5 linked regions of the Callithrix jacchus genome follow. The protein of the gene in region 5 interacts with the protein of the main gene of each other region in a pairwise test. Links are inferred from orthologs where the notes say so. Each region holds a gene or a part of one and is shown on either strand. Other genes may lie near its edges.

What was found. The genes of interacting proteins can lie anywhere in the genome.
Region 1: the proteins of TOX4 (region 5) and ATXN1 interact in binary tests that used the Homo sapiens proteins (3 or more experiments, as listed by UniProt). The link is inferred for Callithrix jacchus from reciprocal best matches to the Homo sapiens genes TOX4 and ATXN1.
Region 2: the proteins of TOX4 (region 5) and BANP interact in binary tests that used the Homo sapiens proteins (3 or more experiments, as listed by UniProt). The two-hybrid records come from large-scale screens. The link is inferred for Callithrix jacchus from reciprocal best matches to the Homo sapiens genes TOX4 and BANP.
Region 3: the proteins of TOX4 (region 5) and FNDC3B interact in binary tests that used the Homo sapiens proteins (3 or more experiments, as listed by UniProt). The two-hybrid records come from large-scale screens. The link is inferred for Callithrix jacchus from reciprocal best matches to the Homo sapiens genes TOX4 and FNDC3B.
Region 4: the proteins of TOX4 (region 5) and TBX6 interact in binary tests that used the Homo sapiens proteins (3 or more experiments, as listed by UniProt). The link is inferred for Callithrix jacchus from reciprocal best matches to the Homo sapiens genes TOX4 and TBX6.

What each region holds. Positions count from the first base shown.
Region 1 is NC_133505.1:14,347,082-14,353,293, forward strand, and holds part of ATXN1 (ataxin-1), read left to right. Parts: intron 1-1,789; 5' UTR 1,790-1,949; coding exon 1,950-3,812; intron 3,813-6,212. UniProt on the Homo sapiens protein: Chromatin-binding factor that repress Notch signaling in the absence of Notch intracellular domain by acting as a CBF1 corepressor. Binds to the HEY promoter and might assist, along with NCOR2, RBPJ-mediated repression. Binds RNA in vitro.
Region 2 is NC_133521.1:45,664,680-45,670,891, forward strand, and holds part of BANP (protein BANP), read left to right. Parts: intron 1-4,853; coding exon 4,854-4,990; intron 4,991-5,211; exon of another isoform or gene 5,212-5,302; intron 5,303-5,626; exon of another isoform or gene 5,627-5,944; intron 5,945-6,212. UniProt on the Homo sapiens protein: Controls V(D)J recombination during T-cell development by repressing T-cell receptor (TCR) beta enhancer function. Binds to scaffold/matrix attachment region beta (S/MARbeta), an ATC-rich DNA sequence located upstream of the TCR beta enhancer.
Region 3 is NC_133518.1:14,695,245-14,701,456, reverse strand, and holds part of FNDC3B (fibronectin type III domain-containing protein 3B), read left to right. Parts: intron 1-295; coding exon 296-420; intron 421-2,449; coding exon 2,450-2,624; intron 2,625-4,259; coding exon 4,260-4,346; intron 4,347-6,099; coding exon 6,100-6,212. UniProt on the Homo sapiens protein: May be a positive regulator of adipogenesis.
Region 4 is NC_133513.1:29,430,638-29,437,475, forward strand, and holds the end of TBX6 (T-box transcription factor TBX6), read left to right. Parts: intron 1-1,513; coding exon 1,514-1,781; intron 1,782-1,884; coding exon 1,885-2,031; intron 2,032-2,108; coding exon 2,109-2,179; intron 2,180-4,029; coding exon 4,030-4,103; intron 4,104-4,185; coding exon 4,186-4,369; intron 4,370-4,442; coding exon 4,443-4,656; 3' UTR 4,657-5,082; downstream 5,083-6,838. Other genes in the region: PPP4C (serine/threonine-protein phosphatase 4 catalytic subunit), read right to left, coding at 5,790-5,919, 5,997-6,186. UniProt on the Homo sapiens protein: T-box transcription factor that plays an essential role in the determination of the fate of axial stem cells: neural vs mesodermal. Acts in part by down-regulating, a specific enhancer (N1) of SOX2, to inhibit neural development.
Region 5 is NC_133509.1:55,996,110-56,002,009, reverse strand, and holds the end of TOX4 (TOX high mobility group box family member 4), read right to left. Parts: coding exon 5,838-5,900; intron 4,518-5,837; coding exon 4,354-4,517; intron 3,278-4,353; coding exon 3,217-3,277; 3' UTR 1,990-3,216; downstream 1-1,989. Other genes in the region: N(6)-adenosine-methyltransferase catalytic subunit METTL3, read left to right, coding at 42-80, 243-351, 466-534, 703-815, 1,812-1,923. UniProt on the Homo sapiens protein: Transcription factor that modulates cell fate reprogramming from the somatic state to the pluripotent and neuronal fate. In liver, controls the expression of hormone-regulated gluconeogenic genes such as G6PC1 and PCK1.

The DNA.
Region 1 (6,212 bases), on a different chromosome or scaffold from region 5:
CTCACTAGCCTGGTTCTTGTCAGTTCCACTGACGGTTCGGCCTCTTGTCAGTTGGGCAGTGGTGTGCCAACACGGCAGCGGTAACTCAGACCTCGGTGGTTAGTAAGAGACTGAGATACTTGTCCATAAGAACTGCTGACCCCAGAATCACTGTTTGTCTGGGTTTCAACACACCAATCTGATTTGTCCGAAAGGGGTGTCGTCTCTAGTGTTCATGGCGAGTTGTTCCTTTCCAAGGAGAAAGGGAGGGGACAGTGTCAAGGGAAACTTCAGAGACAACTTGGAGAGGCAGAAAGAGACAGACACACCAAGCGTGTAACTCATTAAGAAAACTTTCAGGCCGGTTGCGGGCTCACTCCTGCATTCCCAGCACTTTGGGAGGCCAAGGTGAGTAGATCATGAGGTCAGGAGTCTGAGACCATCCTGGTGAACATGGTGAAGCCCTGTCTCTAGTAAAAATACAAAAACTAGCCCGGCATGGTGGCCCACGCCTGTAGTCCCAGCACTCAGGAGGCTGAGGCAGGGGAATCCCTTGAACCCGGGAGGCGGAGGTTGCGGTGAGCAGAGATCACGCCACTGCACTCCAGCCTGGTGACAGAGAGAGACTCCATCTCAAAAAGGAAAAAAAAAGAAAACTTTTAATGCAGGAGCCCTATTTTTATATGGTATTTGGGTTTTTTAACCATAATCAAATTTGGTTTTTAACTGTCTCACTCTGTTATGTGAGTGGCCGTACTGGGAATTCTTTTGAAACTTGCAGAGAACAGGATTATTTTTGGCAGCCCCTGCTGAGTTGGCGTGTGTGTGTGTGTGTGTGTGTGTGTGTGTGTGTGTGTGTATTAAGGGAGAGGGAATCGTAGGTCCATTATGGACCCAGAGCTAAGGGGAATCTCAGAGAGTAGTGGCTCTGGCAGGTGAAGATTCAGAATAAAGTGCAAGGACTGCTCTGTACATTCTCTGCTGACCTGCTTTTTCTGAACACCTGGCTCTGAGGGCAGGGCTCAGCTGGTGTCCTGCTCACTAAGGGCTTCATTTTATTATCCAGCCAGGTAAAGGAGAGGTGAGGAATGGAACCAGCATTTCTGAAAAGGAAATTTAAGAACTGCATCATCTACCCTCTAAGAAGAAAAGGCAAAAAAAAAAAGAGCGAGAGAGAGAGAGAGAGTATTGAGAACATTTTAGAGGAGTTGTTAACTCCATTAAGAAGTATATGTGGGCTGGGCACAGTAGTTCATGCCTGTACTCCTAGCACTTTCGGAGGCTGAGGTGGGTGGCTCACCTGAGGTTGGGAGTTCAAGACCAGCCTGACCAACATGGAGAAACCCTGTCTCTACTAAAAGTACAAAATTAGCTGGGCATGGTGGCACATGCCTGTAATCCCAGCTACTCGGGAGGCTGAGGCAGGAGAATCACCTGCACCCAGGAAGCGGAGGTTGCAGTGAGCCGGAGGTTACAGTGAGCCGAGATCGTGCCACTGCACTCCAGCCTAGGCAGCAAGAGCAAAACTTTGTCTCAAAAAAGGAAAAAAAACAGTATAGGTGTTAGAGTGTTCGCTTGGCTAGTGTCTCCATAGCCTTCCTTCGGGCGTGCAGCCACCATGGCTAGAGTTTTACCTGCTTCAGTGCTCAGGCTGCCCTCGGGTTTGGGGAGATCGCACTGAGTCCAGGGCCTAGTCTTAATCTTGCCAAGGATGTTCTTTCCCCAGTGCTGATGTTCTGATGTCCTTTCCCTCCTTCCCTTTCTCCTCTCTTTCCTTTTCCCCTTGTCACTGCCCTCTTCCCTTTCCCAGCATCCAGAGCTGCGGCTGGCCGATCGTACCCACGGGGAGATGATTCCTCATGAAGAGCCTGGATCCCCTACAGAAATCAAATGTGACTTTCCGTTTATCAGACTAAAACCAGACTCAGCCAGACAGTGAAACAGTCACCGTGGAGGGGGGACGGCGAAAAATGAAATCCAACCAAGAGCGGAGCAACGAATGCCTGCCTCCCAAGAAGCGCGAGATCCCCGCCACCAGCCGGTCCAGCGAGGAGAAGGCCCCCGCCCTGCCCAGCGACAACCACCGGGTGGAGGGCGCAGCATGGCTGCCGGGCAACCCTGGTGGCCGGGGCCACGGGGGCGGGAGGCACGGGCCGGCAGGGACCTCAGCGGAGCTTGGTTTACAACAGGGAATAGGTTTACACAAAGCATTGTCCACAGGGCTGGACTACTCCCCACCCAGCGCGCCCAGGTCTGTCCCCGTGGCCACCACGCTGCCCGCCGCGTACGCCACCCCACAGCCAGGGACCCCGGTGTCTCCCGTGCAGTATGCTCACCTGCCACACACCTTCCAGTTCATTGGGTCCTCCCAGTACAGCGGGACCTACGCCAGCTTCATCCCGTCACAGCTGATCCCCCCAACCGCCAACCCCGTCACCAGTGCGGTGGCCTCGGCTGCAGGGGCCACCACTCCATCCCAGCGCTCCCAGCTGGAGGCCTATTCCACTCTGTTGGCCAACATGGGCAGTCTGAGCCAGGCGCCGGGACACAAGGCTGAGCAGCAGCCGCAGCAGCCGCCACCGCCGCAGCAGCACCTCAGCAGGGCTCCGGGGCTCATCACCCCGGGGTCCCCCCCACCCGCCCAGCAGAGCCAGTACGTCCACATTTCCAGTTCTCCGCAGAGCACCGGCCGCACCGCCTCTCCTCCAGCCATCCCCGTCCACCTCCACCCCCATCAGACGATGATCCCACACACACTCACCCTGGGCCCCCCCTCCCAGGTCGTCATGCAATACGCCGACTCCGGCAGCCACTTTGTCCCTCGGGAGGCCACCAAGAAAGCCGAGAGCAGCCGGCTGCAGCAGGCCATCCAGGCCAAGGAGGTCCTGAATGGTGAGATGGAGAAGGGCCGGCGGTACGGGGCCCCGTCCTCAGCCGACCTGGGCCTGGGCAAGGTGGGTGGCAAGTCGGTCCCTCACCCGTACGAGTCCAGGCACGTGGTGGTCCACCCGAGCCCCTCCGACTACAGCAGTCGTGACCCCTCGGGGGTCCGGGCCTCTGTCATGGTCCTGCCCAACAGCAGCACGCCCGCGGCCGACCTGGAGGTGCAGCAGGCCACTCATCGCGAGGCCTCCCCCTCCACCCTCAACGACAAAAGCGGCCTGCACTTAGGGAAGCCGGGCCACCGGTCCTATGCGCTCTCACCCCACACGGTCATTCAGACCACACACAGTGCTTCAGAGCCACTCCCGGTGGGACTGCCAGCCACAGCCTTCTACGCGGGGACTCAACCCCCTGTCATCGGCTACCTGAGCGGCCAGCAGCAAGCGATCACCTACGCCGGCAGCCTGCCCCAGCACCTGGTGATCCCCGGCACACAACCCCTGCTCATCCCGGTCGGCAGCACTGACATGGAAGCGTCGGGGGCAGCTCCAGCCATCGTCACGTCGTCCCCCCAGTTTGCTGCAGTGCCTCACACGTTTGTCACCACCGCCCTTCCCAAGAGCGAGAACTTCAACCCGGAGGCCCTGGTCACCCAGGCCGCCTACCCGGCCATGGTGCAGGCCCAGATCCACCTGCCCGTGGTGCAGTCTGTGGCCTCCCCCGCAGCGGCTCCCCCCACGCTGCCTCCCTACTTCATGAAAGGCTCCATTATCCAGTTGGCCAACGGGGAGCTGAAGAAGGTGGAAGACTTAAAAACGGAAGATTTCATCCAGAGTGCAGAGATAAGTAACGACCTGAAGATCGACTCCAGCACGGTGGAGAGGATCGAAGACAGCCATAGTCCGGGCATGGCCGTGATACAGTTCGCCGTTGGGGAGCACCGAGCCCAGGTAACGTTGGCCCCGGTGGCGCAGGGATGGGAAACCACACCATGATGCCGTCCTCCTCTCCCGGCAAGATGAGTTATTTCTGTGAGGCAGGATTGAGGGTCCTCAGTTACACCTAGACCTCAGACACCGCCTTTCCCCACTCTGTTCTCTAGAAAAAGTAAGCCCCACTTGCCCGGGGACTCTGCTGTGTGTAATGAATGAACCTCCACGCCTGGAGAGAAATGCTAGTGAAGGAGTCCTTGAGACAATTCAGAAACTCACCACTCTGGTTATTTTTTGAATTCTGTTGTTGGGATGTGGGACCCTGATTAGGAAAAGCTGCCGGACTTCAGGTCCTAGTGGTCATTCCGTACTTTTTCTTACCAGGAAAAGACAGAAGATGCCTTTGGAGTGAGGGTGTTAGCTGCCAAAAGAATCACATCCCATGGCAGCATCCATGTTGGAAAATACGTCTTATTAGTGGGGTACAGTGGTGTATGCCTTTGGTCCCAGCTACTCCAGAGGCTGAGGCAGGAGGATCACTTGAGCCCAGGAGTGAGCTGTGGCTGAACCTGTGACTATTACTGCACTTAAGCCTGGGCAACATAGCAAGACCCTGTCTCCAACATATATATAATGTCTTACTATTATTTAGGTATGATAAGGCCGACAGATCAGGAGACAACTCTTTGAAGGGATAGTTTGTTATACTCTGATCCCAAGAGGAAGGGGCACTCAACACCATAAAGTGGGGGCCACCTGGGGAAGCACCACGTGGGTCAGGAGGTAGAGGAAGTGAGGGGAAACGTGGCAAGCAGCAGCCTGTATTGTGGTTTTGTGGGGTGCAGGGTAAGCAGGGTTAGGATTGGCTAGAGTGGACGAATCCAGTGTGCCCTGGGCCTAGGGGTTGTCCCTAGTTGTCTGGTGGTTGGTGCTGGGGTGACCAGTACAGGTGGAAAGGCCGGGCACGGTGGCTCACACCTGTAATCCCAGCACTTTAGCAGGGCGAAGGGGGTGGATCACCACAGGTAAGGAGTTTGAGACTAGCCTGGTCACCATGCTAAAATCCCATCTCTACTAAAAATACAAAAATTAGCCAGGCGTGGTGGCATGCGCCTGTAGGCCCAGCTACTTGAGAGGCTGAGGCCGGAGAATTGCTTGAACGCGGGAGGCAGAGATTTCAGTGAGCTGAGATCGGGCCACTGCACTCCAGCCTGGGCGACAGAGACTCCATGTAAAAGAAAGAGACAGGTAGAAAGCAGCCCTGAGTGTAATGGGCCAATAGAGGGGGCACTTGGGGCGTGGGCGCTGCACTGGTTGGCTGGTTGATTTGCATATGAAAGTCAGGCTCCCCGGTGAGTTCTTTGAAATCTCTAGGAATTAGCTAACCCTAGAAGGGACTATACCTCTGGGGTCCACAAGACACTAAAATATCAAAGCATCAGAAAATAAAAGCATGGTTAATACAATCTGAGAAGTCAGGGCTGTCCCAGGTCACCTGCTGGGCTTGGGGTAAAGTCAGCTGTAGCCAAGATGAGTCATGGGAGAAACTGGAAGAGTGGTTAATTCTCTTAATTTACACAGGCTCCTTCCGTCTACCCTTTTCCAGGTTCCTAGCTCGACCCCATGAATTTATTCCACAGCCCATTTCTTTCACTGCCCAAGTTGCTGGGCGTCCAGCAGGTTCAGCCTGCAGCTGAGAGCTCCCCCTGGTGGTGGAGGCCACTCTCTACCAGTGTTTCCATCTAGGATTTGAGAACACTCAAATGGGACAGAGCCTCCTTCCAACTCAAGTTGAAAATAGTCATGAAATAGCTGCTATTTTGGACGTTCAGATAAAATAAAACAAGCAAAAAAGATAAACTAGGTAATGGTTTGAATTGCTTTGGGCATTTTAAAAAACAATTTGAGACAACGTTTTTCTGTCCCCTGGGCTGAAATGCAGTGGCACAATCATAGCTCACTGCAGCCTTGACCTCCTAGGCTCCAGCGATCCTCCCACCCCAGCCTTCTTAGTAGCTGGGACCACATGTGCATACCACCATGCCCAGCTAATTTAAAAAAAGAAAAAAACATTTTAGTAGATATGGGGTCTTGCTGTGTTGCCCAGGCTGGTCTCAAACTACTGGGCTCAAGCAATCCTTCTGCCTTTTTAGTAGAGACAGGGTTGCAGATGCCCAAATCCCCGAGATTATAGACATAAGTCCCCATGCCTGGCTTTTTTGAACATTGTTTAAAAGGCCAAGTGAGGAAAGGACCAAATTATTTTTCCAGAACTGCTTGTGAATGACTGGATGTAGGGTTTGCACCAAGCCGGGGTCCTGCATTGCCGAGAGCTGTTAGCCCCAAGTTCTTTTGTAATTGTGAGATGTCGCTGTAGGTTTACAATCTTTGGAAAGGCCCAAGAAAGATTTCCCCAAA
Region 2 (6,212 bases), on a different chromosome or scaffold from region 5:
CATCTCAAATTAGTGTCCTAAGTATTTGAATGCAAAGTGTTCTTTGAAAAGTCCCCACAGTAGCTGCAGTGGCAGCAGCTCCTGGAACTGGAGCTCTGACTGGGGCTGGGTCAGGATGTGAGGGCAGCGTAGACAGGGCCGACTCTTCGACTCAGTGGAGTCTTTGTCCTGGAAGTGCTGTGAGTGGCAGACCAGACCCCTGGCGTTCTCCCGGCGTCTCGTTCTTCCTGAAGCTTCAGGAAGTGGTTTCCTGGGCTGTTTTGGTAGTTATCAGATACTCGGCCTCAGCTGCTGCCCAGGGCTTTGAGGACGGGAGGTGGCTGGCTGGTGTGGGCCACACCAGTTGTGTCCCTACAGCAGCGCTTTATTGGGAGACGTGTGTTGTGAAGAAGCTCTTCTATTCTAGGCCTTTGTGCTACAATTAGGAATTCTGCCTTGGGTCTGTAGAGAGGCAGCAGTCCTGGGATGTGGTGAAGGCCTTGGCTGAAATACTGTGTAGCACAGTAACCTGTGGCCATGGAAATGGGGCTGTGGGAATATTGCTCATGACCTGAATTACGCCCTTGAATATGCATAGTGAGGCAGCAGAGAGTGGACCTGAGAACTAGACTTAGGGTCGGTTACCATTTTCTATTACAAAGATATGTGGAAGTTGACTAAAAATCTATGTGTGATGATTCTTACAGTGTCTGTCTCTAGATAGTAGGATAATTTTTGTTTTTCTCTTTCATTATCGTTTTTCATTTATTTCCAATAAGCCCGCATTAGTTTTATAGTTTTAAAAAATGCCATTTAAAAGCCAGAGAGGACAGGCATGGTGGTTTACGCCTGTAATCCCAGCACTTTGGGAGGCCGAGGCAGGCAGATCACCTTGGGTTAGTGGTTCGAGACCAGCCTGGACAACATGGTGAAACCCTGTCTCTACTAAAAATAGAAAAATTAGCTATTCAGGAGGCTGAGGCAGAAGAATCTCTTGAATCCAGGAGGTGGAGGTTGCAGTGAGCTGAGATTGCGCCATGTACTGCAGCCTGGGGGGACCCCCCCCCCAAAAATAGGGGAGATTTCTGCCTTTGGTCAGGCATAGTAGCCGGAACCAGATTGAATCCTCTTGCCATCGAAATCTGGACAAAAATGTATGAATCAGCTGTCCTAAGACGTTAGACAGGCAGCAGCGCAGGACTGTGGTCTTTGAGGGAAGGAACATGAGAGGAGGGGTGCCACTGGAGCAGCAGGGGGTGCCAGGCAGAGCACAGCACAGTCACTGCCTTCAGGAGATGGATTGGAGAGGAGCAAGGCTGAGGCAGCTGCAAGTTGTGGAATCAAGTTCTTAAAAGCAGAGAGACAGAAAAGAGCTCCAGCGTCTGTCCAGGGGCCTCCTTGGGCCTTTGGGGACTTCCAAAGCAGGCATGAGCTGAAGGGTCCCTAAGCTCACACCAGGCTGGGTGGTGGCTGGATTCCCAGCAGCCAGAGTGGAGAATCCGCAGTGATCAGTCACTGCAGTAGCCAGCCCTGCCTGCTGGTGGGGCTCAGCTGTCTCTAGAGTACAGGCGGGGCTTAAAACAGCCTGAGAGGGAGCACACTGAACCACAGCAGCAGCGCTTTCCAAGACAGACAGCAAACCTAGACACCCAGCAAAATAAAGTTACAGTGTCCAGTATCCAGTCACGAGTACCAAGAAGCAGGAGATGTGACCTGGGATCAGAAAAGCCAGTCAGTGGAAGGAGACCCTGCCTGGAAGTAACTGACAGGGCATCGAAGTCCATTAAATTACATACAAGGATCTGAAGGAGAAAGGAACACAGCAGGGAGAGGAAAGGAGACATAACACCACCTGGAGCTCCTGCACTCGAAAGGCGAGGAGAGCGGCTGCCAGGCCTGCCCTCCGTGTGTCTCAGGTACGTGCGTGTGGCAAGGTTAGCGGCCTGTTCCATCCCACGGGGAACCAGAGCCCAGGTTAAATGACTTCCCAGGACCTTAGTGAGCAAGAAGCTGCTGTTGTGTAACCTGACAGGTGGGCCGGCCTGCGTTATTAGGACACTGAAAGATCTCGAAGGGGTAAACTTAACCCGGTGCAATTCCACTGCTGCAAATGGAGCTCAGAGCATTTGTGCGGGAGCAGCCTGCGAGGCTGCGTGGTGTGCAGGAGCCTCCTTGGAGCCCGTGCGGTTGGAAGGTGCACACCGGGGCACACCCATTCTTAGTTTGTATGCCCTGTGGCCCCAGGGGAGCTGTGTGGGGACGGACTATCACTGTGGCAGTGGGCTGGAAGCCATTGTCTTTGGGAAATGGTTAGAAATGGAGATTTCACAAGGTTTGATAATGGTTTGTTAGAAGCCTGGAGAAGTGATGCGTCAGTGAAGAATGAGGTTGGGTTTGCAGGTCCTAGGAGGGTCAGTGAAGGAACAGCAGGTTCGGGGAGGTGGGCTTCAGCCCAGCTGGGATTTTGTCATCTTCCTGGGGTCCACAAGGCTTGCTCAAGCACTTGTGCTGGTGAGTGCTCTGTAGCTGCTCAGGGGGACAGCAAAGCGCCGTGGCCTGGGGGAGGGTGCTTTGGGACATGGCTCATCTCTGCAGGTGCTCAGGTGGGGTCAGGGTCTTCATTCAACATGCAGGTGGTCCACCTTCTAATAACATGGCCCATCTCTGCAGGTGCTCAGGTGGGGTCAGGGTCTTCATTCAACATGCAGGTGGTCCACCTTCTAATAACATGGCTCATCTCTGCAGGTGCTCAGGTGGGGTCAGGGTCTTCATTCAACATGCAGGTGGTCCACCTTCTAATAACATGGCCCATCTCTGCAGGTGCTCAGGTGGGGTCAGGGTCTTCATTCAACATGCAGGTGGTCCACCTTCTAATAACATGGCTCATCTCTGCAGGTGCTCAGGTGGGGTCAGGGTCTTCATTCAACATGCAGGTGGTCCACCTTCTAATAACATGGCCCATCTCTGCAGGTGCTCAGGTGGGGTCAGGGTCTTCATTCAACATGCAGGTGGTCCACCTTCTAATAACATGGCCCATCTCTGCAGGTGCTCAGGTGGGGTCAGGGTCTTCAGTTGGAGCTGAGTTCCCCACGTTCAGCATGCAGGTGGACCACATTTGAATTACATGAAAGTAGGATTCTGATTCAGGGTAGCTGGGCAATTTCTAGCATGTTGCGATTATTGACATTTTATTATGTGGCCTGGCACGGTGGCTCAGCTGTCATCCCAGCACTTTGGGAGGCTGAGGCAAGCAGATCATTTGAGGACATGAGTTTGAAACCAGCCTGGCCAACATGGTGAAACCCTGTCTTTACGAAAAATACAAAATAAATTAGCCAGGTGTGGTGGTGGGTGCCTGTAGCCCCAGCTACTTGGGAGGCTGAGGCAGGAGAATCGTTGGAACCGGGAGGCGGAGGCTGCAGTGAGCTGAGACCGCACCACTTGCACTCCAGCCTAGGCAACGGAGCGAAACTCTCCAGAGGAAAAAACATTTTATTATGTTACTTTAAAAATTGTATTCAGTGCAACGTGTGTACTATGGCAATTTAATACCTACCATTAGCTATGGGTGAACAACTCATGGAAACCTTTTTTTTTTTTTTTGGAGATAGTCTTACTCTGTTGCCCGGAACTGAGTGCAGTGCTGTGATCTCGGCTCACTATAACTTCCTATTCCTGGGCTCAAGCGATTCTCCTGCCTCAGCCTCCCAAGTAGCTGGGGCTACAGGCATTTGCCAGCATGTCTGTGTAATTTTTGTATTTTTAGTAAAGATGGGGTTTCACCATGTTGGTCAGACTGGTCTCAAATGCCTGACCTCAAGTAATTCACCCACCCCAGCCTTTCAGAGTGCTGGGATTACAGGTGAGCCACCACATGTGGCCCACGTTCTTTAATCATCAGAAATTTTATGGTTTTTGTTTTTCTCCATGCATTCATATCAGCGTTCGACTTCTCTCGCAGAATTTCATCTTACTGCTTTTTTTTGTTTGAGACGGAATCTTGCTCTGTTGCCGAGGCTGGAGTGCAGTGCTGCCATCCCAGCTCACTGCAGCCTCTGCCTCCCGGGTTCAAGTGCTTGTCCCGCCTCAGCCTCCTGAGTAGCTGGGATCACAGGCGCACGCGACCGCACCCGTCTAATTTTTGTACTTTTAGTAGAGATGGGGTTTCACCATGTTGGCCAGGCTGGTCTCAAGCTCCTGACCTCTGGTGATCTGTCCGCCTTGGCCTTTCAAAGTGCTGGGATTACAGGCGTGAGCCACTGTGCCCAGCCCTTATTACGTGTCTATGCATTAACTTTTTTTGTTAGTTGTCATAATTCTCTGCAAGAAAATTATGTGTATGCGTTGAAAATTAAAAGCTTTTCTGTGCTCTTAATATTCTAAGTGTTTAAGAAAATTATGATTGCGGTATCATTATAACGAAAATATGCAGTACATCAAAGCACATTCTTGTTTTGATTAAACACAGCACATACATTTGTTGGAAATGTAGCTTTAAGTGCGTGGCTGAGGTTTTTTCCCTATTAGTTGAATTACCCATGGACAGATACTGCCGGCCTGAAACAGCTTTTGATGTCCACTTGCAGAACTTCATTCATTTGAATAAGTTGGGACTAGAAGGGGTTTTGTCATGGCAGCGTCACTCCACTCAGCCCATCTGCGTTCCATGTGGGAAGCCTCAGCTCCTAAGACGCTCTCTTAGTGACCTCTGCAGAAGAGTGGAGGCGGTGCGAGTGAAGGAGGAATGAAGCATTTCCTCTTCTCTGCTGTGGGAGTAGAGTGAGGGATGGACAGGGGTGCGGGGGCCCATGTGCTGCCGGAAGCGATGCCTAAGAAACTTCTCGTTCACCTCATTCGCACCTGTCGCCCCACAGAGCCGATGATGAGTACCCCACCGCCCACCAGCGAGCTCCCGCAGCCACAGCCGCAGCCGCAGGCGCTGCATTACGCCCTGGCCAACGCGCAGCAGGTGCAGATCCACCAGATAGGAGAAGACGGACAGGTGCAAGTAGTACGTACCCTCCCCACCATGCACCTCGGGCAGGGCGGGCGGTGGGGCGGGCCACCGCTGCGTTTTGGGAGCACAGTGATAGCTTGGGAGGAGGCATAGGGACCCCATTTAAAGGAGAGGCGATCGTGGCTGTGAGCTCTTGCATTTTGCAGATGTGGGCAGCTGCCGCAGTACCTAGGGGTTGAGGCACATGGTGGGGTGCAGGCATTCGCTCAGCTCACCTTGGTCCTGGGCGATGAGCTGCGAGGGCCAGGCTGTGCTCCTGGGAAGCAGCGTAACAACACTCAGTTCAGAGGCGCAGGCGTCTTCTTACTGAGGGAAAGAAGGTAACTTCCTTCTAGGATCAGTGGCAAAAGCTTGAGGCCATTGTTCCCATGCAGCCTTTCCCTCGGGGTTTCTCAGCACACCCAGGCTGGGCAGACACACCCCAGCAGCACGTCAGTGCCCTGCCTTGCCTATGTGGAGTTCTCTCTCAGGGTTTTGTGGCCCAAGCTGCAGCCAGCCTGATGAACTAGGGACTGACTCCCGGGTGAGGTCCCTCTACAAACACCTTCTGAATTTTGTGGCACAAGAGTAGGGGGGTGGCAGAGAAGGAAGACTTTTTCAGAAGCTTTGCTGGGTGACTAGAAATTGTACCTGTGTCACTAGACACTGCTGATGTTTTTAGTTGCGCCAGCCCCTTCGGGACCTCTGAGGTCAGTGGTCATCGTGTGCCCCCTGGGAACAGGGTCCTCTAGTACTGAGAGCGGGGTGCAGCTCTCGTCTCCTGTGGCTTCAGCACATTGTCTGCAAGGGGGAAGGCTTCCAGAAAATGCTGGCGCGTTTAGGTGGGGCATTATCCTTTCTCTTCCACAGGAGATGGGACAGTCATGAATAGTGAATTTCCCAGGCTAATTCAACTCATATGACACTCACAAAGGCAGCTACTCTCATCTTGTTAGTATGGGGCTCTTTGAAAGGGTTCCAGAATACGTAACAGTACCCCCTATGCCATAATGCTTACATAGAACATTCTACAGGAGTTTATTTTAAGGTCCATTTTGACTAAGAGTAATTTCAGATAAGATAAGGAGTATTCATTTCATTTATAGGTTTATAGGAATTGTCTGCCTTATGTATAAACATTGGATTCTTGAATTTTTTTGTTTTTTTGGAATCACATTTGTGTTGACTCAAGCTGTTTAAATAGTCATATGAGTGTTTCTTTGATTTAAAAAACATT
Region 3 (6,212 bases), on a different chromosome or scaffold from region 5:
CCTATTTGATTTTGTTAACCAAAAAACCACTTTATATATACACCGCAGAATGTCATTGAGAATTGCCTGTCTCAGTGACAGAATTTTCTGTAGTGCCTTTATGTCAGAGATGAGATTTCATTGTAGAATACTTTATTGGCAACACGGACACTTCCCTATAAGGTTGTGTTGTTTTTATTCATTCAAACTATTGCTCATTAAACAATTATTCAAGATGTTCAAGATGCTCCTTCGCTTGTTTAGGGTTATCTGGTTTTTAAAAAAGTATGTACATGGTTTCACTGTTTGCTTTTAGGGAAAAAGGAACAGTGGTTTCAGACAGTGCTTCTTTGGGAGCCAGAAACACTGCAAGTTGACAAAGCTTTGTCCGGCAATGGGGTACACGTTCAGGCTGGCTGCTCGAAACGACATTGGCACCAGGTATGACATTTCCTTGCCCTCCTGCCCTTCAGCCTTTGGATGGTGACCTTGAGCCTTCTTGTACGTCATTGGAAGGCATGAGGAACCCCACCGCCTCCACACTAAATCAACTTGAGGTTTTCTAGGAGGGAACCCTAATCTGAGGGGTGAAGGCCCCCTCTAAGCTGGTGAATGTCACTATGGCCTCTGCAGTCTTGCAAGCTGTATTGTGAAGACCCCACCAGGCCTCTAAGAATCAAGGTAAAGGTAGCAGTAAGGAATTGAAAGGAATTCCTCTTGGGGCTTTACTTTTTTTAGATCACATGCCTTTTTCTCTTTATCACTTTAGCAAGCCCTTCATTCAGTTGCCCTTTTTCAATTATGTGAGAGTTTCCGGGTACAAAGAAATTGCTGCTGGGCCAGCCATTGTTGTTAAGCCCAGGGCGGATACAGAATTGGAGAAAACCTGGACTGTCTTGGAGGCCTCTGCAGGCCTCTAGGCTGTATGAGAAAGGCAGGAACTCGTGTACTGTAAGGTATCAATTGACCAAAGAGGCTTTGGAAAGGCCACGTTTCAATTGCACTTGCAGGGTGACTCTTGATTAAGGGAAAAATCTTTTTCTTTCATCACTGCTTGTTGAAATCTTCTTAAAGGTTTTGCACGTCGGTGGTCTCCAACCTTCTTTCCAACCTAAAGAGGCTTTTTAACATCACAAAGTTTTACAGACCTGCCTCCGCCACCATGGTAGCCATTATAATTGTAGAGTTCACTGGTTGAAAAAGTCATACTGATAAAGCCTTCTGTGGCTCAAGATTTTTTAAAAGAATTGGAAGCATCCGCAAACTTTGGAAAAACAGCACTTGTATATATTGGTAAAACATTTATGTCATCCACCAATATTTGTTGCTCACATTGATTTGAAGCTTCCTTGACCCATAAATTGATAAACATTGCATTATGCTATGACTTCTGTCCAGTGTTTTTGGGAGAAGGTGGGGGGACTTTTTCTTTTTCTTTTTTGAGACAGAATCACACACCGTCACCCAGGCTGGAGTGCAGTGGCGCGATCTCGGCTAACTGCAGCCTTCACCTCCTGGGTTCAAGCAATTCTCCTGCCTCAGCCTCCAGAGTAGCTGGGACTACAGGCGCATGCCACCATGCCCAGCTCCTTTTGTATTTTTAGTAGAGACTGGTTTCACTGTGTTAGCCAGGATGGTCTCCATCTCCTGACCTCATGATCTGCCCACCTCAGCCTCCCAAACTGCTGGGAGCGGGGAAATGAATTCTTAAGTACAATTGTCTTTCAGTTTCCACAGGGGATTGGTTTCAGGACTTCCCTCACTTCCCTGCCATGGATACCAAAATCTATGGATGCCCAAGTCCCTGATATAAAGTGGCATACTAGGCTGAGTGCAGTGGCTTACTCCTGTAATCCCAGCACTTTGGGAGGCTGAGGTGGGTGGATCACGAGGTCAAGAGATCAAGACCATCCTGGCCAGCATGGTGAAACCATGTCTCTACTAAAAATACAAAAATTAGCTGGGCATGGTGGTGCACGCCTGTAGTCCCAGCTACTCGGGAGGCTGAGGCAGGTGAATTGCTTGAACCCGGGAGGTGGAGGTTGCCGTGAGCCGAGATCGCACCACTGCACTCCAGCCTGGCGAAAGAGTGAGACTCTGTCTCAAAAAAAAAAAAGGCCTAGTATTTTATAACCTGCACACATCCTTCCCTCCTTAAATCTTCTCTAACTTGCTTGTAATATCCAATATAATGCCTACACATCACTTCATTCACGTGGACTCAAGATGTGGAACCCAGGGATACAGAGAGCCAACTGTGTATTGTCCTGTGACTTGATGTGTGTGTCTAGAAGATCGCTGGTGGGGGGATAGGGAAGCTGAGGGTGATTGCAGGGAATATCACACAAAGGATCCTTGCCTGGCTTTGCTAGACTAAGTTGGATAGTGTGCCTGCTGAGCCTTCCTCTTTTAAAAACGCCAAGCCTCTTCACATGCTTCTAGCTGTGTGCCTCACTTTGTTTCTCTGCAGTGGTTACAGCCAAGAGGTGGTGTGCTACACATTAGGAAACATCCCTCAGATGCCTTCTGCGCCAAGGCTGGTTCGAGCTGGCATCACATGGGTCACATTGCAGTGGAGTAAACCAGAGGGCTGTTCACCCGAGGAGGTGATCACTTACACCTTGGAAATTCAGGAGGATGAAAATGTGAGTTTTGCAGATTTTATGCTTCTCGGTGTTTTGTAGAAATCAACATTGTTATAGCTGCAGGGCACTGTGAAAGTAGATTCGCTGCAGAAGTTCAAAACCAAACTCTTAATTTCGATGCCTGTCACCACCACGACCAACAGCAGCCTGTTCTCTCCCATCTCTGTAAATGACATTTCCATCCTTTCAGCTGGGGAAGCAAAAATCCTTGGAGTCATCCTTGACCCCATATATAATCAGACAGAAACATCCTTTCGAATCTTCCTTGGAAATTATTTAGAAACGAACCATTTTTTATCATCTCCACAGCTGCTACTCTCTTATGAGCCACCTTCATCTCGCCCCTGGATTGTTGCAATAATACAACGTGATTATTGGATTATCGCCACTTAATGTTCCCGACTTCATCCTTACTAGGCTACAGTCTGTTCTCCACACACAGCCTGGGTCTCACAATGGCCACAAGGTCCTGTGTGACTGTGTTCTCCGTTACCGTCCTCCTTCCTTCCCTGTAGTCTCATCAGCCTCTAGTCTGTTCTTGAAACACACCACGTCTGCTGTGGCCTCACGGCCTTTGCAGTTCCTGCCTTCTGGCCGGAATGCCCTTCCAGATATCTTTGCCTGCCTTCCCTCATTTCCTAAAGGTCCACTCTCAAATGTCATCTCTTTGGATGGTCCTTTTCTGATCACCCTGTAGAACAGCACCGTCCAATAGAACTTTCTGCAGTGATGGAAATATTTTAGAATTTGTGCCATATAGTATGGTGGCACCTGTATACCTGTGACTCTCAAGCCTCTGACATAGGGCTTGTTGGACCACAGTACTGTTTTTAATTGTAATAAATTTACATTCAAAGAGCCACATGTGGCTACCATATTTACCTCCAGCAGCTGTAGAAAGCCGTCACTAGTTCCACCACCATACCTTCTTACCTAGTTTTAGTTTTTGTCATAGCACTTAACGCCACGTGACATACGTAGGGGCTTTTCTGTATTGTCTTTTCTTACTGCAATGCAAGCTGCTTGTGGGGCAAGGCCTTTCTAAAAGTTCTTGGGCAGTGCTGAATCCTTAGAGCCTGGAGGTCAGCCCAGCGCAGAGAAGGGGCTGAGTAGTATTTTGATGAGTGAACGATCGAATAATAGAGATAGAACTATTGAATGAGTTTCCTGGATTCAACTTTGAGTGGGATGCTTGCCCTCCTAAAGGATTATGCCCTTTCCCATCTAAGCTGTCCTTTCTCTCTTGGCCAGAAGAGGGCACTGTGTGGTCAGGAAGCTCAGCCACACATTACTGCGTAGCACATGGCAGCTTGATAGTAAAGACCTCAGTACAAAGGGCTTTTTTCATGACAACATTAAAAAGGTTAAATGTGTTTTCAAAAAGTGCTTGACTCCTTTGTCACAATAAATTTGACCGGACCCAGGAGAAATTACGGTGTGATGGAGATGAATTTTTATTTAAAGCTCAAGTGCTATCCACAGTAGTCTGGGCTTCTGATTTTTCTCTTTTGCAGTAGCTGACATTCCTTTGGCCTGTTGCTGATGACGACAGGATAAAAATCCCACATTCAAAGGAAGGTATTTAATGCCCAGAATTTTTGAGACTGATGTTTCTTCCTGGCTTTGCCTTTTCAGGATAACCTTTTCCACCCAAAATACACTGGAGAGGATTTAACCTGTACTGTGAAAAATCTCAAAAGAAGCACACAGTATAAATTCAGGGTGAGTCAGTCGTTTCGCTACCTGTACCGCTGAAAAATGAAACTGTTTTATATTTCACCATTTACCATGTCAGATTGACGCTACAGGTTAAAAAATGCACTTTACATTTTGAAAGTAACATTTATAAAGTGCACACGTGCTTTAGTCTTAAAACCAACTTTTGAGCATAAAAGTCATCCTAATGTGCTGTCATAAATTGCATGTACAGCATGGCCAGGTGCCCTCACCTGGGAGGTGTACACCAGGTTCTGGAGTGCACCCATCACTCGCCTGCACTCCACGCCTTTCTCCTTCTAATCAGACTTCTCTTTGCTCTTCATTTTCCTTTGCTCTTCTGCCATTTATTTTTCCTCATTTGTTTTTAATCTTCTCTTCATTACCCACCCCCTTCCCACCTGGGTGGTCTTTGGTCATTAACAGCCACCATTAATGTTCCTGTAGGTCTGTGTGTGGCCAAGTAAGTGAATATGACTTTATGATCACAAAGACACCAAAACAATGTGCTGCAGCTCCATATTTCCTAATATGGCAAGTGTGCATCTTGGAAGATACGATTGTTTTCTGATTCCACATGTTCTTCTCTAATTGGGGGACCAAATGGTGTTATTTGGCACATAGCAATCACCCAATAAATAGTTGCCAAATTATCCAGTGCAGTATGTGACTATTTGAAGGAAATGATAATTATTTTTTTTTTTTTTTTTGAGGCAGAGTCTCACCAGGCGCCAGACTGGAGTGCAGTGGCACAATCTCGGCTCACTGCAACCTCCGCCTCCTCGGTTCAAGCAATTCTCCTGCCTCAGCCTCCTGAGTTGCTGGGACTACAGGCACGCGCCACCATGCCCAGCTAATTTTTGTATTTTTAGTAGAGACGGGGTTTCACCATGTTGACCAGGATGGTCTCAATCTCCTGACCTTGTGATCCACCCGCCTCGGCCTCCCAAAGTGCTTGGATGACAGGTGTGAGCCACCGTGCCCGGCCAGTGGAAATGATAATTTTTAACATATTTTTTTAACCCTTATTCTCGAAGCTGACTATGAGAACATAGCTATACTGCTAACGTTTCTCCACAAGGTGGCATTACCCTACTCTTTAAAAAGTGGAGCATTTTTTTTTTTTCTTTTTTGAGATGGAGTCTCGCTCTGTCACCAGGCTGGAGTGCAGAGGTGTGAGCTCGGCTTACTGCAGCCTCCAACTCCCTGATTCAAGCTATTTTCCTGCTTCAGCCTCCCAAGTAGCTGGGATTACAGGCACGTGCAGCCACGCCTACCTAAGTTTTGTATTTTTAGTAGAGACGTGGTTCTGCCATGCTGGCCAGGATGGTCTTGATCTCTTGACCTTGTGATCTGCCTGCTTCGGCTGCCCAAAGTGCTGGGATTGGTACAGGCATGAGCCACCGTGCCCGGCCAAAGTGGAGCCATTTTTATGGATTCCCCCACCACCATATTTCCTTCCACAAAACCATACAAACCAGGCGACGACATACTTGTTTTATGCTGTCTTTTTGAAAGGGTAAAAGTGTCTTTAGCTAAAGCCCACCTTATGGTTTTGTTTTTAATTGTTGATAACCAACTATACAGTAAATGATTTCTAGAATAAATACGGTTAAGTCAGTACTTGAGTTTAAAGAGAAAAAATTGTGTGTGTGTCTGATTTTAGGGATCCCTTCATCTCACCTTGTTAAAGAGTGACCATTAATTGAATAATCCCTGATAACTAACGCATGCTAATGTTTCCTCTGTTGTGTTCTAGCTGACTGCTTCTAACATGGAAGGCAAGAGCTGTCCGAGCGAAGTCCTCGTTTGTACGACAAGTCCTGACAGGCCTGGACCTCCTACCAGACCACTTGTCAAAGGCCCAGTTAC
Region 4 (6,838 bases), on a different chromosome or scaffold from region 5:
CCAGCATCAGGGAAGTCTGGCGATTTGAGTAGGAGTCAGTATGTCGAGGTTCAGTGTCAGTATGCGCCTTGAATAGGAGTCAGTATATGACTAGGTTCAGGATCACCCTAAAGGCAGGGATGTGGTCAGTGTGTAGCCTGAGTCGAGATCTTCATCTAGGGCAGGAGCTCAAGCCCTAGCACGGGAAATCCTCAGCCTTACTGCAGGCAGCATATTTTTTCTGAAGGAAGTTCATATAAAAGCTGCAGATTCTGGTGTTGGAGTCAGGGGAGGAGAGGAGGGTGGGGACACGAAGCTCCTGGCAACATTTCAGGGAGAAAAGTTAGTCACCCCTGCTTCTGTAAATAGGCTTTGAAGGGTAGGAATCATGGCTGTCCCTAACCTGCCGTGTGACAGATCACCTAACCCATCTGTCCTGTTTCCCCAAATGTAAAATGAGAAAGAAAACCTTCCAGCTCTAAGATTCTGCCCTCTGGGTTCTTTTTTCCTTTATTATTATTACTATTTTTTTGAGACTGTTGCCCAGGCTGGAGTGCAGTGGCGTGATCTCTGCTCACCCCAACCTCCGCTTCCAGGGTTCAAGCGATTCTCCTGCCTTAGCCTCCCAAGTAGCTGGGATTACAGGCGCATGTCACCATGTCCAGCTAATATTTGTATTTTTAGTAGAGAGGGGTTTCACCATATTGGCCAGGCTGGTCTGAAACTTTTGACCTCTTGATCCTCTCACTTTGGCCTCCCAAAGTGCTGGGATTATAGGCATGAACCACCACACCTAGACCTTTTTTCATTTTTTAGAGACAGATCTTGCCTTGTTTCCCAGGCTGGAGTGCAGTGGTGCAATCATGGCTCACTGTAATCTTGACCTCCCAGACTCAAGTGACCCTCCTGCCTCAGTCTCTAGAGGAGCTGGGACTATCAGTGTGCACCACAGTGCCTAATTTTTTAATTTTTTGAGGCCGGGTGCAGTGGCTCACGCCTGTAATCCCAGCACTTTGGGAGGCCGAGGAGGGTGGATTACGAGGTCAAGAGATCGAGATTATCCTGGTCAACATGGTGAAATCCCATCTCTACTAAAAATACAAAAAATTAGCTGGGCACGGTGGCGCGTACCTGTAATCCCAGCTACTCAGGAGGCTGAGGCAGGAGAATTGCCTGAACCCAGGAGGCGGAGGTTGCGTTGAGCCGAGATCGTGCCATTGCACTCCAGCCTGGGTAACAAGAAGGAAACTCCGTCTCAAAAAAAAAAAAAAATTTAGAGATGGGGTCTCACTATGTTGCCCAGGCCGGTCTTGAACTCCTGGGCTAAGAGATCCTCCCACCTTGGCCTCCCAAATGTGTTGGGATTAGAGGTATGAGCCACCGCCTCCAGCCTGCCCTTTGGGTTCTAATTCCACCACCCTGGATGTTTCTCTGACAGCCCTGGGGAGCCTGCCGCTATGTCCTGTTGCTGGTGCTGGGCTCACCCCTGGCCAGTGGGTAGCTCCAGGCCTCTCCTGTTCCCTCCCTTGCACAGGCGCATGTTCCCTGCCTGCCGAGTGTCAGTCACCGGCCTGGACCCGGAGGCCCGCTACTTGTTTCTTCTGGATGTGGTTCCAGTGGACGGGGCTCGCTACCGCTGGCAGGGCCGGCGCTGGGAGCCCAGCGGCAAGGCAGAGCCCCGCCTGCCTGACCGAGTCTATATTCACCCCGACTCTCCTGCCACGGGTGCCCATTGGATGCGGCAGCCTGTGTCCTTCCATCGTGTCAAGCTCACCAACAGCACGCTGGATCCCCACGGCCACGTGAGGCCCAGGCTGGGACTCCAGGATAGGGGATGGGGGTGCTAGAAGAGAGGTCAAGGCTGAGGCACAGGGCAGGGAATCATTCCCATTTCTTCCCTCCCAGCTGATCCTGCACTCCATGCACAAGTACCAGCCCCGCATACATCTGGTTCGAGCAGCCCAGCTCTGCAGCCAGCACTGGGGGGGTATGGCCTCCTTCCGCTTCCCCGAGACCACATTCATCTCTGTGACAGCCTACCAGAACCCACGGGTGAGTGCCCCTGCTTGAGGGGGTGGTGGCGCCCTGCCCAGGCCACAGGAGCTTTGACCCTGGACGTGTGCTCCCAGATCACACAACTGAAGATTGCAGCCAATCCCTTTGCCAAAGGCTTCCGGGAGAACGGCAGAAACTGTAAGAGGTGGGCATTATTCATTCGCTCGTTCATGCATTCAACAAATGTTTATTAATCGCTCATGGTGTGCCAGGCTCTGTGCTGGACACAGTGGAATGCAGTGGTAAGTAAAAACATTCATTCTCTGACTCAGCAAATACTTATTTAGTACCTGCTTTGTGCCAGGGACACTTCCAGGAACTGGAAAGAAATCAAAGCAAACCAAAGCCCCTGCCCTCATGGAACTGACATTCTAGTGGAGAGAGCAGACAAGAGAAATAAATCAAATGTGGTCTGTTAGGAAGCTAAAGAGAAGAGAAACCAGGCGTGGTGGCTCATGCCTGTAATTCCAGCACTCTGGGAGGCCGAGGCGGGTGGATCGGCTGAGGTCAGGAGTTCGAGATCAGCCTGGCCAACATGGTGAAACCCTGTTTCTACTAATAATACAAAAATTAGCCAGGTGTGGTGATGCATGCCTGTAATCCCAGCTATTCAGGAGGCTAATGCAGGAGAATTGCTTGAACTCAGGACATGGAGGTTGTAGTGAGTCAGGTGCCATTGCACTCCAGCCTGGGCAACAAGAGTGAAATTCTGTCTCAAAAAAAAAGAAGAGAAATCAATCAGGGAAGCATAGGAAGGACTGGGGTGAGGTATTAGAGGCCTGGAAAGGCCTCAGTGGTAAGAGGACACAAGAAAAAGAGCTGAAGGAAGTACAGGAGGGAGCCAGGTGGGTATATGGCAGAGCATACTAGGGAGTGGGAACAGCATGTGCAAAGGCCCTGAGGTGGGACTGTGCCTGCAGCGTGGCATGAGTGGGGAGTGGGTGAGGAGTCAGGTAGGGGATGGAAAGCCAGGTTATGTTGAATAGTAAAGGTTCAGTAAGGCCATGGGAACTGTTCTAAGTACAGCCCCTCAGAGTTGGCCCCTGCCCTCAAGGAGCTTAAGAGACAGACATGAACCAAGGAGTCACTCCATCAAATGCAAAAGTGGAACAGTGACAGATGTTACGAGGGTGGGGTATGTGCTCTCAGAGGTCAGGGAGGACTTCCTTGAGGAACCTGTGCTTGCACTGAGACAAGGATGGGTTTGGTGGTTCATGGCTGTAGTCCCAGTGCTTTGGGAGGCTGAGATGGATCACTGGAGCTCAGGAGTTGGAAGCTGCAATGAGCTGTGACCGTGCCACTGCACTCCAGCCTGGGCAACAGAGTAAAACCCCATCTCAAATTTTAAAAATGACAAGAAAGCCAGGCATGGTGGCTCATGCCTGTAATCCCAGCACTTTGGGAGGCCGAGGCAGGTGGATCACCTGAGGTCAGGAGTTTGAGATGCCTAACATGATGAAACTCCTAAAAATAAAAATAAAAATAAAAAAAATTAGCCGGGCATGGTGGCTTGTGCCTGTAATCCCAGGCTACTTGGGAGGCTGAGACAGGAAAATTGCTTGAACCCAGGAGGTGGAGGTTACATTCCAATTTGGGCAACAGAGGGAGACTCCGTCTCAAAAAATAAAAAAGAAAAAAGATTTAACAGATGAAGAGCGGACAGAAGAGGGTTCCAAAGAGAGGCTGAGAGTGGAGATGGGGCAGAAAGATGAGCTGGGTGAGACCATGCCCTGGTCTTTTTGCTGGGAAGGAGTTTCCATTGATACTAAACACAATAGGAAAGCATGGAAGCTTCAGCAGGGACTAAATCCTAGCTCTGCCACTTTCTACTTATTTCATTTTCTGGCCTTCAGTTTCTTCATCTGTGAAATGGGTATAATGATGGCCCCTACCTGACAGGGTCCCTGGGAGGGTGAAATGCCTGGCACTGGTTAAGTACTTATTACTACGACCATGGCCATCATCATCATCATCATCACCACCACTGTTCCCCAGGGAGCGAGACGCCCGTGTGAAGAGGAAACTGCGGGGCCCAGAGCCAGCAGCCACAGAGGCCTGTGGGAGCGGAGGTGAGTGTAGTCCCGATGGCGATGGGGCCAGGCCCGAGACACCGATCCTCCGTAGCCCAACCTCTCCCTTCCCTTTCCCTAGACACCCCAGGTGGTCCCTGCGACTCCACCCTGGGTGGAGACATTCGTGAATCAGATCCAGAGCAGGCCCTAGCCCTGGGGGAAGCCACCACTGTCCCGGTGCCTCCGTGCGGTGGCCCCAGTGCCGAGGCCTACCTCCTGCACCCTGCAGCTTTCCACGGGGCTCCCAGTCACCTTCCCACCAGGTGAGTAGGACAGGGGACCAGATGGTGCTGCGGGTCCCTCTGCCCTGCTCTGACATCCCTCTCTCCATGTCAGGAGCTCCAGCTTCCCGGAGGCTCCAGACTCTGGGCGCTCAGCCCCCTACTCAGCTGCATTTCTGGAGCTGCCACCTGGGCCAGGGGCCTCTGGGTACCCAGCGGCTCCGCCAGCAACACCCTTTGCCCCCCACTTTCTCCAAGGGGGCCCCTTCCCTCTACCATACCCTGGGCCTGGGGGCTACCTGGATGTGGGCTCCAAACCCATGTACTGAGCCAATGCTGGGCCCTTCTGCCTCCATCATAAACCTCCTGCTCCCTTCCCCCAGCCCTGGAGCCCCCTCACCTCCACCGGCCCCATCCCCCACACCAAATGGCTGCCTTGGGCATGCCCCCCACCCCCCAACTTCACACCTTGATTTCACTCCCACCCCCCTCTGGCTTCAAAGCCCAACCAAGGCTGCTGGGAGTCCAGCTGGGGCCAGCTTCCCCTTCCCGCCTCTCACCTCTGTGTGAATGGAGGGGACTCTGCCTGGCCAAATGGGGCCACAGACCAGCATCCCCACCTCTCAGGCCTCTCCATGGACTCTGGGAGGCTCAGTCCCCACCACCCCCAACACCACTGGTGCAGGCCACACCAGTCTGTTCTGGGACCAGAGTATTTTTGTTAATAAAATTCAAGAGCCATCGTGCTAAGGAAACATTGGGCTCATGTGTTTGGCCCTGGGCGGGGCAGGGTGAACAAAGGCTTTGCTAGAAGACCCAGGCCCAGATCTAAACCTGTGTTTCCAGCTGCCTGACCTAGCACAGAATCCACTGGCTCTCTATGCCCATCTCCTCTTTGGAGAAATCAGAATCTCATGTTGTCAGTCATTAATAAGGCTGCCATGAGAAGTGAGCCTCTCCCTAGCGCTGGGGAGGCCAGCAGACAGCAGCCCCTGGAGGCCCTGGGTAAGCTGACTGGCCTGAGTCAGGCCCTCCTGCCAGGTCCGGGCCCTGAGGCAGTCAAGGCCCTGACGTCCTCCCGAGGTCCCAGGCCAGCAACCCTGCACATCCCCAACCAAGTCTGTCTGGCACAAACCCAAAGATCATTTTTCTTCTTTTATTAGAATTTTTTTTTTCATTTTTTTTTTCTCAAAATGTTTATCTAAAAACAAACAGAAAAAAGAAGGAAAAAAAGAAAAAAAATTATTGGAAACTTCATGGTTCAAGTGGGGAGAGAGGAGAGGAGGAACATGGAGCTAGGTCTCCAGGCCTCTCCAGAGAAGTCCTCACCCTCAAAGCACCCTCTTGGGGGAGAGCAGAGCTGGAGACAGCCCTCCGCCCACGCCCAGCCTCCATCTGGGGAAGAGGCAGAGTCACAGTGGTCCGAGGGCCAGAAGGGCTGGAGGGGGCAGGGGCCAGGGGCTCACAGGAAGTAGTCGGCCACCGGCTTCTTGGAGGGGATGCCCCGTGTCTCTTGGGGAGCAGCCTCAAAGATGATAAAATCTTTCTGGAGATGCTCGTCCAGCTCCAAGATGGCTGCCACATTCCCACAGCTGGAAGGCAGGACGGCAGGGTCAGGAGCAGCTGGGCTCAGATGTCCATCCCTCCCAGCCCGGCCCAGCCGGCTCACCGGTAGCAGTAGTTGGGTGCTGACCACACAGTGAGCACGGTCTCGTTGAAGTGCCACTTGTAACCTTCCATCACCAGTTGGTGGGCACGGCAGATCATGTCAATGTCATTGGCTGCGTTGAACTGGGCCACCACATCACTGCCAAACAGGTAGCCAGCCCCTCGGGGGCTCACACCCCAGCCTGTGGTGTCTGATGGGGCAAGGGAGGGATGGAGGTCCTCAGGGTTCTCTGGCTGCCAGTGCTGCCCCTTGAGGTGAGCAGCCGGGCCCCTCCCAAAGGCCACCAGAGGCCCAGGGGACCAGAGCATGGGGCCTGAATATGGTCTGGGGAATGGTAGGGGTCAGGACAGCAAAGGTAGGGGCAGATAAGCTCCAGAGAAGAAAGAACCAATGGCTGGGGCCCCCTCTGAATCACAGTGATCATACAATTCCCTGTCCGAACAGCACACGGGAGTGAAAGCGGTGGTCCCAGAGACGTTAAGGGCACTCTGTGCTGTCACAGAGCAGTCGGGAGTGGCTGTGGAGCAGCAGCTGCATGTGTCTGTGTGTCTGTGCTGCAGCAGAGGCTGCCTGTGCATGTGTGTGTACATGTGTGTGTGTGTGCTGGAGCAGAGGCTGCCTGTGCATGTGTGTGTACATGTGTGTGTGTGTGCTGGAGCAGAGGCTGCCTGTGCATGTGTGTGTACATGTGTGTGTGTGTGCTGGAGCAGAGGCTGCCTGTGCATGTGTGTGTACATGTGTGTGTGTGTGCTGGAGCAGAGGCTGCCTGTGCATGTGTGTGTACATGTGTGTGTGTGCTGGAGCAGAGGCTGCCTGTGCATGTGTGTACACATGTGTGTGTG
Region 5 (5,900 bases):
ATAAGGGCATACAAGTAGTTGTTTAACTCATTTCTTTCTAGGGCCATGGAGTTGGGCAGAGAATGTCTAAACCTCTGGGGGTAAGTAATGGTTTTGTTGCTTTCTTTTGAGGGTAATACTGTTACAGTGAGATACACGTTCTCTCCCATAGTATTCCATGATTCCTTGCTTTATGGTATTACCCCTTTTAACCGCACTGTAAAAGTTTGGTTAAAACTCTAGTTTTTTCTTATTCCCCACAGGTATGAACGGGTAGATGAAATTATTTGGGTGAAGACAAATCAACTGCAACGCATCATTCGGACAGGCCGTACAGGTCACTGGTTGAACCATGGGAAGGAACACTGCTTGGTGAGCAGCAGTGGGGCCCGATTCAATAGATGGAGCATAAACAATCATTTGATTTCTTATTGAGAAAAAGTTCAAAAGGTGTGGTTTCATAAGGTAATCTGTTATCTGTGGTAGCAGGTTGGTGTCAAAGGAAATCCCCAAGGCTTCAACCAGGGTCTGGATTGTGATGTGATCGTAGCTGAGGTATGTGCTTCCCCAGGCCTCCAAAGCTTCCACATTGTTGTTGGTATCAGTTATTCATGTCAGGTGTATTCTCATCCAGATTTTTTCCATTTAGATCATAAACGTAATTGAAAGGGCTAGGATTGCAATCTTATGTAACTTAAAAAGCAGCTAGTTTTTATCTCCTAGGTTCGTTCCACCAGTCATAAACCAGATGAAATCTATGGCATGATTGAAAGACTATCTCCTGGCACTCGCAAGATTGAGTTATTTGGACGACCACATAATGTGCAACCCAACTGGTAATGTGACCAGAGACCAGACTAGTCTTCAAGGGGCTATTTATGATTAAATTCAGAAATGTGACCAGAGAACAAACTAGTCTTCAAGGGGCTATTTATGATTAAATACAGAACTTAGTAGAACTTCACATTATATTCCATGAGTCTATAAATGAGCATCAGAGGATTCATAAGCCACTTAAGCTTGTATTTAAATTGTTTTATGAGATTTTACAAATATTCATTAAAACTCAACAGGTTCTAGGATCCAAAGCACGGCTCCCTAGGGTTTCTACTCTGATAACCTAAGGATCTTCCTCAGCCATTCTATGTGATGTATTGAATCTGCCCCCTGGTGGTTATGAAGTTATCTATGTAATCAATTATTTTATCTTTCACCCCGTTAATAGAGCTTAAAACACATGCTGCTAGCATTTTGCTTATCCAAAGAATACTCCCTGGTGCAGCAACTCTGTCCTGACTAAGCATTAGTTACTAACCATCCAATAATACAGATCCAGTCTTTTTTTTTTTTGAGAGATGGAGTCTTGCTTTGTTGGCCCAGGCTGGAGTGCAGTGATGAGATCTTGGCTAACTGCAACCTCTTCCTCTGGGTTCAAGTGATTCTCCTGCCTCAGCCACCTGAGTAGCTGGGATTATAGGTGTGCACTACTGTGCCCAGCTAATGTTTTGTATTTTTAGTAGAGACGGGGTTTCACCATGTTGGCCAGGCTGGTCTTGAACTCCTGACTTCAAGTGATAGGCCCACCTCAGCATCCCAGAGTGCTGGGATTATAGGCATGAGCCACCATGCCCAGCTCAGATCCAGTCTATTTTAACACCAGAATCGATGTCAATTCTGAACTACTCATTCTACCATATACTATTGTAATGTTAAGCTCTTTATAGAAGAATTGGTATATTTGATATGATAGGCAGTCTTCATTTGGTATGCATCTTTTAACAATATTAACTAATTCCAGGATTTCTGGTTTGCCCCTCCTTTTCCCATTTCAGGATCACCCTTGGAAACCAACTGGATGGGATCCACCTACTAGACCCAGATGTGGTTGCACGGTTCAAGCAAAGGTACCCAGATGGTATCATCTCTAAACCTAAGAATTTATAGAAGCACTTCCTTATACAGCTAAGAATCCATAGTGATGGCTGTGTAAACCAAACCTCAAGAGTGGTATTTGTACAATAGCTTTCTTCTTTATTTAAATAAACATTTGTATTGTAGATGAGATTTTGAAGTCCATTCTGGCTCTGCCACTCATCAGTGTGTACTCTTGTGCAACTCATCTCTCAGTAGTATTTCTTATATTTAAAATGGGAGTATTACCTCACTGGGTTGCTGTGAGTGTTCAAACAAAACAAGTGCATGGGAAACATTAAAATGATCATAGGCTAGGCGCAGTGGCTCACACGTGTAATCCCAGCACTTTGGGAAGCTGAAGTGGAGGGTCCCTGGAGCCCAGGAGTTCTAAGACCAGCCTGGGCAACATAGTGAGACCCCATCTCTACTCCCAGCCTCTAAAACCATTAAAAACACAGGAATGCACAGGATCAAACTAATTAGTAATAAATATATACATGGTTCGTTGAGGAGGAGGTTCTCTAGGACAGCATTTCTCAAAAGTAAAAATTTGAGTTCCATTTAAGGTTATCACTTACTCTCTCACAAGTAGGTGGCTTCTCTAGTCTGTTTTTCTTTAGATTGTTTCCAATAAATAATGGTAGATCTATGGTTTCTTAAAGATATTTCTTAAGGATGTAGAGTTCTACCTCTTAGATTCATAAACTGTGATAACTCAGGTAAGGATGGTAACTACAGAAATAACATTTGTAAAGAGTAGTAAGAACCTCCTGGGTGATATCATTTTCCATGTAGCCCAATATGCCTGTATTAAAGTTTTGTTCTCAAAGCAGTGTACTGATGTGATAATGGGGAATAACAATTTTTTTTAAGAGGAAACCTTTACTGTAATTTCTTACCCCTTTTAAAATGGATGAACACAGTGGCGTTTTCTCCTAGGCTCAAAGCTGAGTACTCTCCCATCATTTTAATAATATTTTAGGCAAGTCCTATGACAATTATACCAACAAGTTTCTTCAACCCCACCACCACCCCTTACCATCTCTATGTTTTGCTTGCCCATACTCCCTTCACCCATTCCTCTGCTATTACCACTAGTATTTTTGCTTCTAGTTGAAAGCAAAAAGCATCTCCAGATTACAGCAAATTCAGTGGCCCTGCTCCATAGCGTGGCCTCTGCTGAAGGGAGAAAAGTGGAGAAACATGAACAGCCATCATGGGTTGCGATCAGGCACTACTAGAAGCCCAGCTTGTGTTTCAAAAACAGGCTCTTGGACATGTTCCCAGCAGGTAACTCTTCACTGGCTTGGAGAACAGGAAGGACTATTTCACAAACACCACTGTGTTTGAATTCCTAGAGGCTACCCAGGCCAAGAATACATCCCTAAGAGAGAAAAAGACATACACAAACAGAATTATACACAAACAGAATTATAGCCTAGATATATTCTTTTTATCTGTCTTAAACAATTAGGTTCCCAAATAATTTTCTGCAGCATCATAGTGACATAGTGTCACATCAGAAATATAAGAATTGTCAGTAGAGGGAATGCTGATTTACTGTAGAGTTTTTGAAATAGGAAATAGAAATGCCTTGTCCTATAGCTATAGGTAATTCCCAGGAGAATCTGGGGAGAGGGGTAAAATCTTATGAACTTCTCCAATTTCCCTCACAAATAGCAAATTACTGTGTGCTACTATTCCACTTACCATTTCCCCAAATTCTAATTCCCTAAATAGTCTGATTTGCACTAAGGATTCAAAAGCTAGTATTTGTATACACTAACAGATTAATGTATTATCATATTTTGTTTTGTAAAACGGGGTCACCATGTTGGTCAGGCTGGTCTTGAACTCCCAACCTCAGGTGATCCACTTGCCTTGGCCTCCAAAGTGCTTGGATTACAGACGTGAGCCACCACAGCTGGCCTATTATAATGTTTTTTTTTTTTTGAGACGGAGTTTCGCTGTTGTTACCCAGACTGGAGTGCAATGGCACGATCTCAGCTCACAGCAACCTCCGCCTTCTGGGTTCCAGCAATTCTCCTGCCTCAGCCTTCCGAGTAGCTGGGACTACAGGCACGCACCACCATGCCCAGCTAATTTTTGTATTTTTAGCAGAGACAGGGTTTCACCTCGTTGACCAGGATGGTCTCGATCTCTTTACCTCGTGATCCACCCGCCTCGGCCTCCCATAGTGCTGGGATTATAGGCGTGAGCCACCGTGCCCGGCCTATCCTGTTTTTAAAGGGCATACATAGGTATGTGGTAACTGAAAAATGTGAACTGCTGATCATGTCACCTTTGCCTATGTGGCAAATGTAAGGTCTTAAGCAGGGGAGCTTTTCTAGTAGACCAGATAAACAGCAACCTACTCTATTTTATGCTCAAGATTACCATGTTTCCCAATAAAATTAATTTAGCAGTTCTGAATTACAAGAAGGGGAAGGGTAAGCTCACCTGCAGTGCTTCACCACACACTCATTGCTGCAGTATTCATTGTCCCAGTCCTTACTCACAATTGGAGGGTTCTCACAACCAGACCTCACACATCGAGGCTGTGGTGAGAGTGCCACAGGAGACCCACTCACCAATTCAACATCCATCTGAGAAGGAGACTCAACCTACGAGAGGAAGAGAGCATCAAGGTGGATTAGATTGCTCCCTGCCTAGCTAGCTAGTTAAATTATCTGTAGAAACCAATGAAACAACAGGTATTACAAGTCCTCACAGTGGGGGTAAAACTGCAGAAGGTGAGTTTTTGGTCTCCCCCTCAATAGTCCCACTTCAGAACTTTGCCAAGCTGAATGACATGAAGATTCTTCCCATCAGGAGAAAGCTGGGCATATGCTAATGCTTTTTTCTCCCCTTAAGCCTGGCTAATCAAGTGAAGTAGCGGGAGTGGAAAGGTAGTGGTCTTTTAATTTTAATCTAACCTGTCAATGGCTTTATGCCACACATTAATATTCCTGACAGTATCAAATCAAAATTAGAGTGTGAGTAGAGGCTAAGTCACCTCAAGTAAGTTAGATGAAGGCTATGAGAAGTCAAAATGTGGTGCTGTTAGAAACAGGAAAAAGAGGGAGATTCATAAAGTTTCCTGCTGAAAGGTTTTTTTTGTGTGTGTGTTTTTTACTCTGTCACCAGGCTGGAGTGCAGTATTATCTTGGCTCACTGCAACCTCTACCTCCCCAGGTTCAAGTGATTCTCCTGCCTCAGCCTCCCAAGTAGCTGGGACTACAGGTGCATGCCACCACACCCAGCTAATTTTCACATTTTTAGTAGAGTTGGGGTTTCACCATGTTGGCCAGGGTGGTCTCGATCTCTTGACCTCATGGTTTGCCCACCTCTGCCTCCCAAAGTGCTGGGATTACAGATGTGAGCCACCATGCCTGGCCATATTTATGTTTCTCTTAAAAACCAATGGTATGAACCAGTTAAAATTTTTTTGCTATATCCCCTGCCCCACACATTTAAAACATCAAGCTAAGAAGGAACTTAAGATCTAGGAGAAATGAAAAGCTTCGTATTTTTAAAGTTTAGGATCCTTGGGTAAACAACTCTGAAAAGTAACTTGTTTAGGCTATATCCTGTCTAGTTGAACTAGTTTCCTCTGCTTAGTTAAGGAGTGGTCTGGGACAGAAGACTGTCTTAATGTGTCTCACTGAAAACACTATGGGTACCGTGGTAGAGACAAGTCACTGTTGTAAGGAACTCCCATCTGCAGGATGTTTTGTGCTGCTGGTTGCTGGGCATTAAATGCTAGTAGCAACCCCCATTTATCTATTTTTCTTTTCTTTCTCTTTCTTCTCCTCCTTCCCTTCCTCCCTTCCTTCCTCACACCAAGTTTTTGCTGAAGCAACCCCCATTTTGATTGGGTCAACCAAAAATGTTCTTACACATTTTTACTAGACTAGAAGACAGACTTAAAAATAGAGGCTCACCTCAGGAACTACATCTGTGATCATCTCACAGATAGTCTCAGGAGAAGTTGCCTCCACTGTATG